3 linked regions of the Xenopus tropicalis genome follow. The protein of the gene in region 2 purifies or fractionates together with the protein of the main gene of each other region. This does not show direct contact. Links are inferred from orthologs where the notes say so. Each region holds a gene or a part of one and is shown on either strand. Other genes may lie near its edges. The genes, in order: pde4dip, prkar2b and akap9.

Region 1 (3,755 bases), on a different chromosome or scaffold from region 2:
TGGATTGTGGGTGGGCTTTGCCATAGCTAGGAAGTGGCCATGGATGTCGCTGTTCATGCAAGGGGCATATTTTTTACCTTGGGGCTCCATTTTTCTTGTTGGCAGGGCACAAATCCCAGGGGGCCAAGGTAGACAGTGGGTTAATAACTGGGGCGCCGTAGGGAAACGACCTGCTAATTTAGTAGTATGGGAACTCATAATTACCAATAGCAGATCCTAGTGAGTTTAGGATGCAGCCAATGTACACACAGCAATCTAAATACTAGTGGGAACATAGCAAGGCATGTAAGTAAGCCTGTTATGCTTAAAAAGTTGGACTCTATTGGGAAGAAGGATAAAGCCAAGTAAAGTAAATTTAGGATAGAATTCAGCCTAACCATTACCCTAATAATAAACCCAATGCTGCTTTATAATATATATTATATTATATATATATATTATATATATATATATAGAATCAGAATCTAGCCCGTTATGACAGACCTCTAGTAAGGATATATTAATCTTAAATGGATATATTAATGCATAAATAATGCATATAACTGTCTGGTGTAGAAATTGTTCTACGAGAAGGTGCTTGGGAAGGAAAAGCGGAGGACTTCAGTGGACTGCAGGAGCATGACATACTTTCAGGCAGCTGAAGGGCCTAAATGAGAGTTTCAGGCTGATCAAACTGAGGCGATCCTCCACTGATGAGAAAAAATGCCTGTGACCACCGAAACGAACCCTGCAACTTACTGCAATTGTCTGTCCCCATGCACATGGGGCAGATTTTGGACAAAAAAAAGGAACATTTGAAACAGATATCTGGCTATAGAACAGGAGCTTTACAATTTTGCACATTTGCCAGTATATATACCTGTGTGTGAAGCGGTATATACTCTTCATAGACATCTTGCCATAGGTCTTGCACATCATAAAGTTCAGGCACAAAGTCCTGAGCATTACTGGGAGGGGATTCTGCAATGATGCCCAGGAACCCAAGCCCAGGCGAGGGGGTGGCAGACAGGCCACTGGCCACCATGATGTTTGGTTTGAAGTCATGTAGCCTAGACTTTACAGGTATCCTGCAACCACGAGGGATTTGTACAGGCTTGTAGTTAAACACTTTAGCCAAAAGAAAGGCAAATTCACTTCTACTACCATTGACGGGGGAGTGGGCAACATGATTAATGGAGCAGTAGTCACATTTAGCATCATCCCCAGGAGGCTTGCAGGGTTCCTCCTCTTTGTGAGAGGGAGTAGCAGCAGCATCCATGTGAGTAGCCAGGGATTCAGCAGAGGAACCAGAGGACAATCTGAGCCCATCTCCCTCTGGTGGTGCCTTGGCCTCTGGCAGTGGCTGAGGTGGCGGCTGGGTGACCATGGTCTCCTCAGTGCAAAAGCTGGCAGAGCCCTTGGTTGAAGGGCCACATGAGGGGCTCCGGGCCACTTTCCTGGGTACCTTACAGACTGCTTCATAGTCAGAATCTGCCACTCTCAGGCCGGAGCAGCCACGGCAGCGCCTGGGTCGGACTCCCCCGGTGTCAGTGTGCTGGCAGTGCTGCGGCTCCTGGCTCTGCTGGTCCAGCTCTGCCCAGTACTCATAGCCAGAATAGGCGAAGTCCTCCTGGAGCAGAGCCGAGTAGCGCACATCTGGCAGCTCGGATATGTCCACTGTGCCGCCCTCTGCCGCTGGTCTGCTGTCTGGCCCGGTGTCTGGCCCATCCTCCTCGCTGTTATGCTTCCTGTAGAGGCCGGCCAGGCAGTGCTTGAGGCGCTCCTTCTCGGAAATCAGCTTGTGCAGCCGCTCAATGGATAACGCCTCGATGCGGGCGATGACAGTGTCAAAGCGGCACATCCGCTCCAGCATGAAAGCGCACTTACTGCAGGCGAACTCGGCTCTGCCATCGCGGGGCACCTCCCTGCCCAGGACGTGACACAGCAGCACCTGCAGGTTGAGCTTCGAGGCGGTGTGAAAGATCCAGCGGCGCTGATTCCCGCACAGCTCCCGGCCGCAGATCCGGCAGGACTCCTTCATTATTACTCCGGCCTTTCCCACATGAACTCACTCACAGCCAGCCTGCCATTCCTGCAGCATGTACCGAGCCTGCGCAGCCAGCACTGTTGCCAGAGCAGCACCTAGCTGCCTCCATGTATAATGAATGGGGCAGTGCGGGGAGGGCACGGCAGCCAGGTTACATAGAGCTGTCACTGACGTGGCTCTTTACCAGCTGTTATTCCTGGGATTCCCGGGCTAGCGCTATCCCGAAGCCTTTCAGCCAAACACCCGCACAGAGAGCGCCTTCATTCCTCCCTGCCGAGCTGTCATCAGCCGCAGCATCTCAGGTCCCCACCCATCTGGTACCGCTAGCCGGCTAGAGCTGCTTCCCTGTCTCACTCGCAGGCAAGATGGAGGCTGCTACCCGCGCAAGGGGGGCCGGGAGATGTAGTTGTGAGGGGATCCAAATGCCGGGCATGCGCAGTGCCATTAGCACAGTTTCCCTTTTCCCCTAGTTATTTCATTAAAGCTGTGCGCCTTGACAGCGTATCTTACTTGCCCAGAAAAAATAGAATTATTTCATCAGACTAAATGACAAAGCTAAATGAAGTCTGGTAAAAAAACAAAACATTCTGTGCTATAAATCATGCCATATCCTTGTCTTGACTGCTAAGGTAACTCCAAAATGGAGAACTGCGGAACAAAAATTGAAACAATTGAAAAAAACTAAGATTATAAAAAATGAAGACCAATTGAAAATTGTCTCAGGATATTACTCTCTACATCATACAAAAAAGTTAACTCAGAGGTGAACAATACCATACCACCCCAAACTTTGGCATGGCCAGTCTTGTCCATGTGAGGGTCCCTGAGCAATGTGACCTATCAAACCTTGCAGAGGTTGTACAAAGATTGGGCAGGCTTGATAATGTAGGAATTAGTAAAACCAATCAAAACCCAAATTGCTTATAGAAGAAAAAACACAATTCATATCATGGTTCCACTAAAGTGAAATCATATAGAATTTAAGGTTGTTGTAAATACAAAAAAGCCCAAGGCCGGGTGGGGGGGGATTCATTTAATAGAGGCCTCTGTATTGTAATTTAACAGCATATTATCTACTGCTAAAAAGTACTTTTGTCCTAGTTCACAGGCGGGTGCATTTGATTTCTTTTTACATAAAGATATTTTTGTCTTTCCCAAGCGCTCAGTAAATGCCCTGAGAGGCTCTCATAAGCACTCATTCAGTGAACACCCTGAATTTGATTTTCTCTATGCAGGAATCTGGTTGGCACCAATTGTAAAGATGCAGTGCACCATGGCTGTGTTTAAAGATAAGTAGGTAAACCCACACAGTATCTAAAGTCTGCATTAGAGAATGTAGCTGGCTGCTTATGGCAATCACAACCACATGCAGCAGTCCGTAATACCACACACCCTTGCCCCTGGCAGAATAAGCTTTTATTAACAAATGTAGCAGAATGTAATGTTAGCTGTGCTTTAATCCTCTTAAATAACACACAGGGTCAAAAAAGGATAAGAAAGAAAAAATATACACTTTTAGCATGAAGGTTATTTGTGTTGGAAGCCCCACACACCACCAAATTGTATATCCAATAAACTGCTTTCTGGGATACTAATGTTCAAAAATATTATAACAACCACCAAAATACAAATATTAAGGGATTTTTGAAAAATGAAATAGAAGCCAATGTAATGTCCCTTTGATTGCAAGCTAGAAAAGCATATAGATTATTTCCTTGCTTATATAACA
Region 2 (3,655 bases):
CTTTGATTCACCTATCCCCACCTCCAACAATACAGTGTCTTCAGCGCTGGTGGCACGTCGGTATAATTGGCTCCCCAATTTGACATTGGCAGTGGCAAAGGGCGGCACATATCTATAGTCTATCCCCTAGTGTGACAACGTATATACAATTGCAGCAGACTCACCATCTTGTGGCCTATATTAAGGCGATTGGCACCTTGGACAAAGGCATCATAGATGCTATCTAAAAATCATGAGCTTCATTACCTAGCTCCACTACTACTATGCTACTTTAGCGCATGAGACACAATAGGAATGCCGTGTTGGTCCGTGTCCCGCTACCAAATACGGGTTCCTGTGCCACATGTGCGGACCAGTCTCTCGACTCTATGTACCGGATGGTGCTTTCTTGGGAAATAATTTTTGATCATGTCTCCACTTGCCTATTGCGCACCATAGCCCGGGTTCCAGCCTCTAAGCCTGCACTTCCATCTGCGCTTCTACTCGTCAGCTGGCCGTTTACCGTGGAGCCGGTATTCTTATGTGCCTCAGGCTACGGTGCTGCCTTACAATGTAAGTGCACCGAAAATCTTTTGGTGAGTACAGTGCCCCCTTTAGCGATTTAGTATGCCACTGCCCTTGCCCTATATGCTGTAACTCTTTGGTCCGATTGCCACGATGTCACTAGGAAGCGCTTGGAGCGCCTAGCATATTTCGGTATGTTTCGAGGTGGTATTCCTTGGTGGGATTCCGTGCTGATACTTACCTTCTCCCTTTGCTCTTCACTGTACCATTTATTTGGACTTACCTTTACCGGAGATGGGTTTCTTTCTTTCTATTTACCTGGTGTCACGTACGTTCACGTTTCCTCTTGCACCGATACTCGTTTTCCGACTTCTACTGTTTTATTTGTTTTTTCTATAATTATTTTATTTTAATTTTCCCAACAATATTCGTTTGTGTTTCGTTAGTATTCGTCTTATGTAATTCTTTCCCTGTGTTCACACCCAGCACCTACCCCTTTAGTATACTTCGGAATTTTGTTGTTTGTGCGTATAAATTTTCTTTGCTAATGCCTTGATTATACATTGTCCGTATCAGGGTATCGATGTACTAACACCTTATAATTAGCATTTTAATGATATGTTAATGTGATGGGTGGGGTTGGTAGTTTTGTGCACTATACACGTCATGAAAGTTTTTTCACTTCTTTGTTTGATTTTTCCCGCCATACACAGTATTTATGTGTGTTTCTCCTTTGCTGCTACAACTTTGACAAAGGCTGGTGTAACAGCCGAAACGTTAGTTCACTCCTCTGGCAATAAAAAAAGAATTTTTTGTTTTGTATAAGTCCTGTGTGTGCGACTTCCGTGATTTTTTCCATATATATATATATATATATATATATATATATATATATATATATATATATATATATATATATATATATACATATTACAGATAAGATTCTCTTTTTTTTTTTTTAAACAGAGGAACCTATGATATTTTTGTAAAATCAGATGGAGTTGTGAGGTGTGTTGGTGCCTATGATAATCGTGGAAGTTTTGGGGAATTGGCATTAATGTATAATACACCTAGAGCTGCTACAATTGTTGCAACATCTGTTGGTTCCATATGGGGTTTGGTAAGTATTTGCATGTGCTTATTACAAATTATACTTGAAGACATTATGTGTGTGTGTGTACACTGTAGCCACTTTTTTATAGCTCAGTTAATTACATTAATATTTATAACCGTGATAAAACAAATTAAAGAGATTTGAGCTGACACATCATAGCTGTTATAGCTGTGCACATAAAGCTAATAAGAGGAAGATTTTTTTTCCCACTACACAGCATGAGATAAAAAATTCATGGTCATTTTTCAAGCTTTACAGGGGTCCTACAATTTTGGCAGACTCTCATTCCACCTACTTAAGCAACACCTGCTTAATCATTTGTTGTGGCCCTGCTGGTTTAACCCCTAGCTTTCTGAAGAAGAAATGCTAAGTTGTTTTCATGCTGTTGTGCAGTAGGGAGGTGGTAAATCCCTGAAATGTCAGAATGCAATCTTAAAGAGGCAAAAACAAACAGTAGCACAATTCTAACATCCCATTGCTGTTTTAGTATTTAAATACCTTAAATGACAGCTGCTTCTCTATAGGGTTGTTAACATTATAAAAGGTCATGAATCTAGTCATTTGATTTACATAACATCCTCTTTTCTGTAAGATTTGCATTGCACAATTTGGAAAATAATCTGAAAAATGTTGATGCAATTGGATTTATACTGTAAAAGTGCCAAACTAAAAACATAATTGTAAAGATATTGTGCTGACTCTGTTCACTCGTCTTCTTCATCTAAGTTAGGCCTCTTATTTTTATTCTTTTTATAGGGCCTACATCTTTCACAGTATTTACAGAGATTGTTCTTCATTTGCATCAGTCCCATTAAATACACATGCACACACGGCCAGTTTCTAGGAGTCTAGGAGAAAAGCCACAAAGATATGGGAAAACATATAATATTTATGCAGATAGTAATTTGGTCAGATTCAAGGCGAGAAACCCATGTGTTGCAAGGCAGCCATGCTGACCTTTGTTCTACTATGCTGCTCCATTCTGCGCCTAACCACCTGCATAACTATACCATACAATGTACAGTTGTTAAAAGGTCTAATGCAGGACAATGTACATGTCATGTGAAAGTACGCCCCATATAAATTTCTTTGTTAGCATATGTAGAGATATAAATAACTGATCTGAAACAGTATATAAAGGTGTTGAAAGGTATTGCCCCATTTGGCAAAAACAGCCGCAAGTAGGAGGTTTTCTTTTTTATATTTTTCCACTCCTCGCTGTATATGTTTTTCAGCTCTACAGTGTTTGAGGAGTTTCTTGCATCCACAGCTTCACAATCTGGTCTTTGGCCATTTCAGAACCCTCTATTTCTATTTTTTCATCCATTTCTTGGTGAATTTACTGGAATATTTATGGACCTTGCCATGCTGCAAGGTCCACTTTCTGTTGAGCCTCTGTCTTTAGGCAGATGGTTTCAAAATATCCACAAGCACACTATGATACAATGAAGAATTTAGACTGAATGTTATGATGGTGAGATGCCTATGCCCTGATGCAACAAATGAGCCCCAAACTATGTTGTCATTTTCACCACAATGTTTACAGTTGGCATCAGGCTTTTCTGTAGAAATGCTAACTTTTGTTCTCACCAGAATGTTTTAGTCTTGTCTGTTGAGAGCACATTTTTCTTTGAATTCTTGTGCCTAGGTACTGCACTGATGATCTTTCTGGACAGCTAAATTTTCCTCATGGGTTACCTCCCATGTAGATCTAGTTTCTGCAGCTTCTTTCTAATGGTAGACTTATTCACTTTGACATTAATAATGGCAAGTGCTGCTTGAAGGTCCATTCTAGGATTCCTATAAATTTCTTTTTGAATCTTGCATTCAGTTTTCAGGTAGTTGTTTGAAATCTTCTCCAGATGATGATCCACACAGTGGAATGACTGATGTCCAATTGTTTGGTGATCTTTTTAAACCCCTTCCCAGACTCATAGGCATCTATAACCTTCTTTCTAAAGGCTTCAGAGAGACGCTTTTAATTTTGACACAGTGATATCACACAGTTCAGCAATAAAGAGCAATCAAAACTGTATG
Region 3 (3,755 bases), on a different chromosome or scaffold from region 2:
ACCAATAGGTCTTTGCACAACTATAAGGTTGATTAGCATTTTTTAAAATTTGCACTATAAGTTTGATTGAGGTGTGTTTACTAATCAGAATTGAGAAATTACTACACTACATATATATTTTTTTCTCTCTTTCTTTCTTTACCTCTTTTCTCTCTTCTTTCTTTGCTCTTTTTCTTCCCTTCCCTGCACATTTGCACCGGTTCACAGCATTAATAAGACTGCTACCATCCCCTCGATGTCTAAATACATTCGGTTTCTGTAACCCTTTTATTGAAAGTGATAAAGCTACCAACTGTAAACGGAACTTAAACACTGTTTTTCAGTAAAATGTATTCTCACTGTAAGCACACTGCCTCCAGTATCTGCATATTTGTATTTATACCCATGAGTAATTACTGCAATATTGCTTGTCAACAATAGCAACAGTAACCATAGTGGTCATACGCAGATCTCTTTTCTGTAGAGCTACTTCTGAGTTCAAGCCCATCACATATGGGATAATTCTTTATGTTTACCTTAATGGAACATAATATGAAGCCTCCTACAAACACTAGCTAAAAAATACGCTTTGATGCTATATACAAAGGTACTTGAACCCATAAACACTCCTTTGCATCTTGAAAAGAACACCAGTGTGCCCATTCAACCTGTTCTGACTCTGCACAAATGAACTGTACAAAATAATTCCAGGGTTCTCTTATAGGTTTTGTGAGCTAAATTACTATGAGCTAAAATTCCTCCTCATACAGCGATCACATATTGCTTTGTCAGAGGGGCCCACTGGGAGTTCTGGGAGTGCTCAAATAACTGGAATGTAAGAGGTGGGTAGAGACATCATCAATAAATACAGTTCAGATAGAGTAAGTACCGTTGCATTAAAGTAGTTCTGGTAAGAGTAATGGTACCTATATGATGCACCATATTCACAGCAGGGATTGGCCCTTGCTAAATGTTTTCAATGCAAAAACATTAGATGATTGGTTTGCATTGTAAACCAACAGCAATAACAGAGCATAAAGGTAAACTTGACAGATGTGTCTTTGTCTAACCTCAACTACTATATATCCAAAGTCATGCTATTGTTATAGTATACCATTTAAATTTTAGAGACAAAATAACTTTTTTAAGTAATAATTACAATTTAAAGAAAATATTACACTTAAATACCACGTTGTAAGAAAAGATTTCTCATTATAAGGACATGTGCTGGTTAAGTATAGCTCACATGCTAGATTGTCTTTGTTCTGTCTGTTTTGCACACAATGCCTTGGTGTGGGCAGTGCCCCTTTAAGTGTCTGGGAACTGCAGCAGCGCAACAGCAGCTGTCAACTCCTAGTTCTGCCACTGCTGCAATCGGTGCCGCCCCCACTGACTTCTCTCGCCGCTGCCGGGCGCTGGGGTGACGTCAGAGGAGTGCGCCGAATGTTTACGTGGAGATGGGAGAGAGCGGTAGGCGCTGTAGCTAACGCTGCGCATTGCTGTGTGTGTCTGTACAGGCGCAGGCATGGAGGAGGAGGACCAGGAGAGGAAGAGGAAGCTGGAGGCCGGCAAGGCTAAGGTAAGGGAATGTGGGGAGGCTTTGTGTCTGTGTGTGTGTCTCCCTCTGACAGCTGTCACTGGGGAAGGGGGGCTTCCATTGTTTGCATATTCCTGGCGTGCTGTGTCTGTGCGAGCTGTCCCGCCGCCCTGTTTGTCTGGGTGCCACCCTGCCATTCTGATGTGTCTATGTCACTGGCTCCATGTGTCACCTTCCAACCTCCTGTGTGTGTGTATGGCACCTTACAGCATTCTGTCCATGTGTCACCTTCCAACCTCCTGTGTGTGTGTATGGCACCTTACAGCATTCTGTCCATGTGTCACCTTCCAACCTCCTGTGTGTGTGTATGGCACCTTACAGCATTCTGTCCATGTGTCACCTTCCAACCTCCTGTGTGTGTGTATGGCACCTTACAGCATTCTGTCCATGTGTCACCATCCAACCTCCTGTGTGTGTGTATGGCACCTTACAGCATTCTGTCCATGTGTCACCTTCCAACCTCCTGTGTGTGTGTATGGCACCTTACAGCATTCTGTCCATGTGTCACCTTCCAACCTCCTGTGTGTGTGTATGGCACCTTGCAGCATTCTGTCCATGTGTCACCATCCAACCTCCTGTGTGTGTGTATGGCACCTTACAGCATTCTGTCCATGTGTCACCATCCAACCTCCTGTGTGTGTGTATGGCACCTTACAGCATTCTGTCCATGTGTCACCTTCCAACCTCCTGTGTGTGTGTATGGCACCTTACAGCATTCTGTCCATGTGTCACCTTCCAACCTCCTGTGTGTGTGTATGGCACCTTACAGCATTCTGTCCATGTGTCACCATCCAACCTCCTGTGTGTGTGTATGGCACCTTACAGCATTCTGTCCATGTGTCACCATCCAACCTCCTGTGTGTGTGTATGGCACCTTACAGCATTCTGTCCATGTGTCACCATCCAACCTCCTGTGTGTGTATGGCACCTTACAGCATTCTGTCCATGTGTCACCATCCAACCTCCTGTGTGTGTGCATGGCACCTTACAGCATTCTGTCCATGTGTCACTATCCAACCTCCTGTGTGTGTATGGCACCTTACAGCATTCTGTCCATGTGTCACCATCCAACCTCCTGTGTGTGTGTATGGCACCTTACAGCATTCTGTCCATGTGTCACCTTCCAACCTCCTGTGTGTGTGTATGGCACCTTACAGCATTCTGTCCATGTGTCACTATCCAACCTCCTTTGTGTGTGTATGGCACCTTACAGCATTCTGTCCTTGTGTCACCATCCAACCTCCTGTGTGTGTGTATGGCACCTTACAGCATTCTGTCCATGTGTCACCATCCAACCGCCTGTGTGTGTATGGCACCTTACAGCATTCTGTCCATGTGTCACCATCCAACCTCCTGTGTGTGCATGGCACCTTACAGCATTCTGTCCATGTGTCACTATGCCTTGCCATTAGCCACATTGTGCACATGTCACCCAAACATTCTACCTATGAGCCACCTTGTGCATGTATCACTCTATGTACCCTGGGGCCTTGTACCATTCCCTTCACTTGTGCATGTCTCTGTGCATCATTGTGGTACTTGCTTCACATCACTTTGCTGCTTGGTGCAACTGGTTTCTTGTGTCTCTGTGTGCTTTTGGTGTGTCTGGATCCTGTTTGCCTATTATGTTAAGTGCAGTGTATGTTTCACTTTGTGGTATTATATGTTTGTGTGCAGCTTCTGTGTCAGTATGTGCACAAAATGATACACATTCAGTGGAATACTTAATAGTTTTTAAACCCTCAACTATACAAATTGACTTCTATTTAGAATGTGTATCGTGCTTAAATCACTTTTTTTATCGGTGTTAATTTTACATGTATACCATGGGTAAGTGTTGTAGGGTGCGTAATTGTGTATCTGTTGAAGAGAAATACTTAAAAATAAACACACATTTATACCCACATATATGCCAAATGGCAGGTACATAGAATGTATGTGTACTTAAATAACTTTTTTCATTGGTGTAAGGTTTTTTGCATGCCATGGATTAGTGTTGTAGTGTGTGCATACAGAATATAGGTGCGAGTGTATGTACTTGTGTGTCTGTTTTCTTCCTATTTAGGTATACTTTTAATCAAGACACATTTATACCCACAACTGTATAAAATGGCTTGTATTTGGAAAGTGTATTTTGCTTAAATCACTTTTTCCATTGGTGTCAATTTCACATGTATAC

The links.
Region 1: the proteins of prkar2b (region 2) and pde4dip purify together in Homo sapiens (affinity purification with mass spectrometry; 4 studies listed by BioGRID and IntAct, counting the BioPlex papers as one, with this or other methods). This does not show direct contact. The link is inferred for Xenopus tropicalis from reciprocal best matches to the Homo sapiens genes PRKAR2B and PDE4DIP.
Region 3: the proteins of prkar2b (region 2) and akap9 purify together in Homo sapiens (affinity purification with mass spectrometry; 3 studies listed by BioGRID and IntAct, counting the BioPlex papers as one, with this or other methods). This does not show direct contact. The link is inferred for Xenopus tropicalis from reciprocal best matches to the Homo sapiens genes PRKAR2B and AKAP9.

What each region holds. Positions count from the first base shown.
Region 1 is NC_030680.2:118,160,409-118,164,163, reverse strand, and holds the start of pde4dip (myomegalin), read right to left. Parts: upstream 2,423-3,755; 5' UTR 2,021-2,422; coding exon 860-2,020; intron 1-859. UniProt on the Homo sapiens protein: Functions as an anchor sequestering components of the cAMP-dependent pathway to Golgi and/or centrosomes.
Region 2 is NC_030679.2:76,660,124-76,663,778, reverse strand, and holds part of prkar2b (cAMP-dependent protein kinase type II-beta regulatory subunit), read left to right. Parts: intron 1-1,470; coding exon 1,471-1,624; intron 1,625-3,655. UniProt on the Homo sapiens protein: Regulatory subunit of the cAMP-dependent protein kinases involved in cAMP signaling in cells. Type II regulatory chains mediate membrane association by binding to anchoring proteins, including the MAP2 kinase.
Region 3 is NC_030682.2:31,455,264-31,459,018, forward strand, and holds the start of akap9 (A-kinase anchor protein 9), read left to right. Parts: upstream 1-1,350; 5' UTR 1,351-1,504; coding exon 1,505-1,558; intron 1,559-3,755. UniProt on the Homo sapiens protein: Scaffolding protein that assembles several protein kinases and phosphatases on the centrosome and Golgi apparatus. Required to maintain the integrity of the Golgi apparatus. Required for microtubule nucleation at the cis-side of the Golgi apparatus.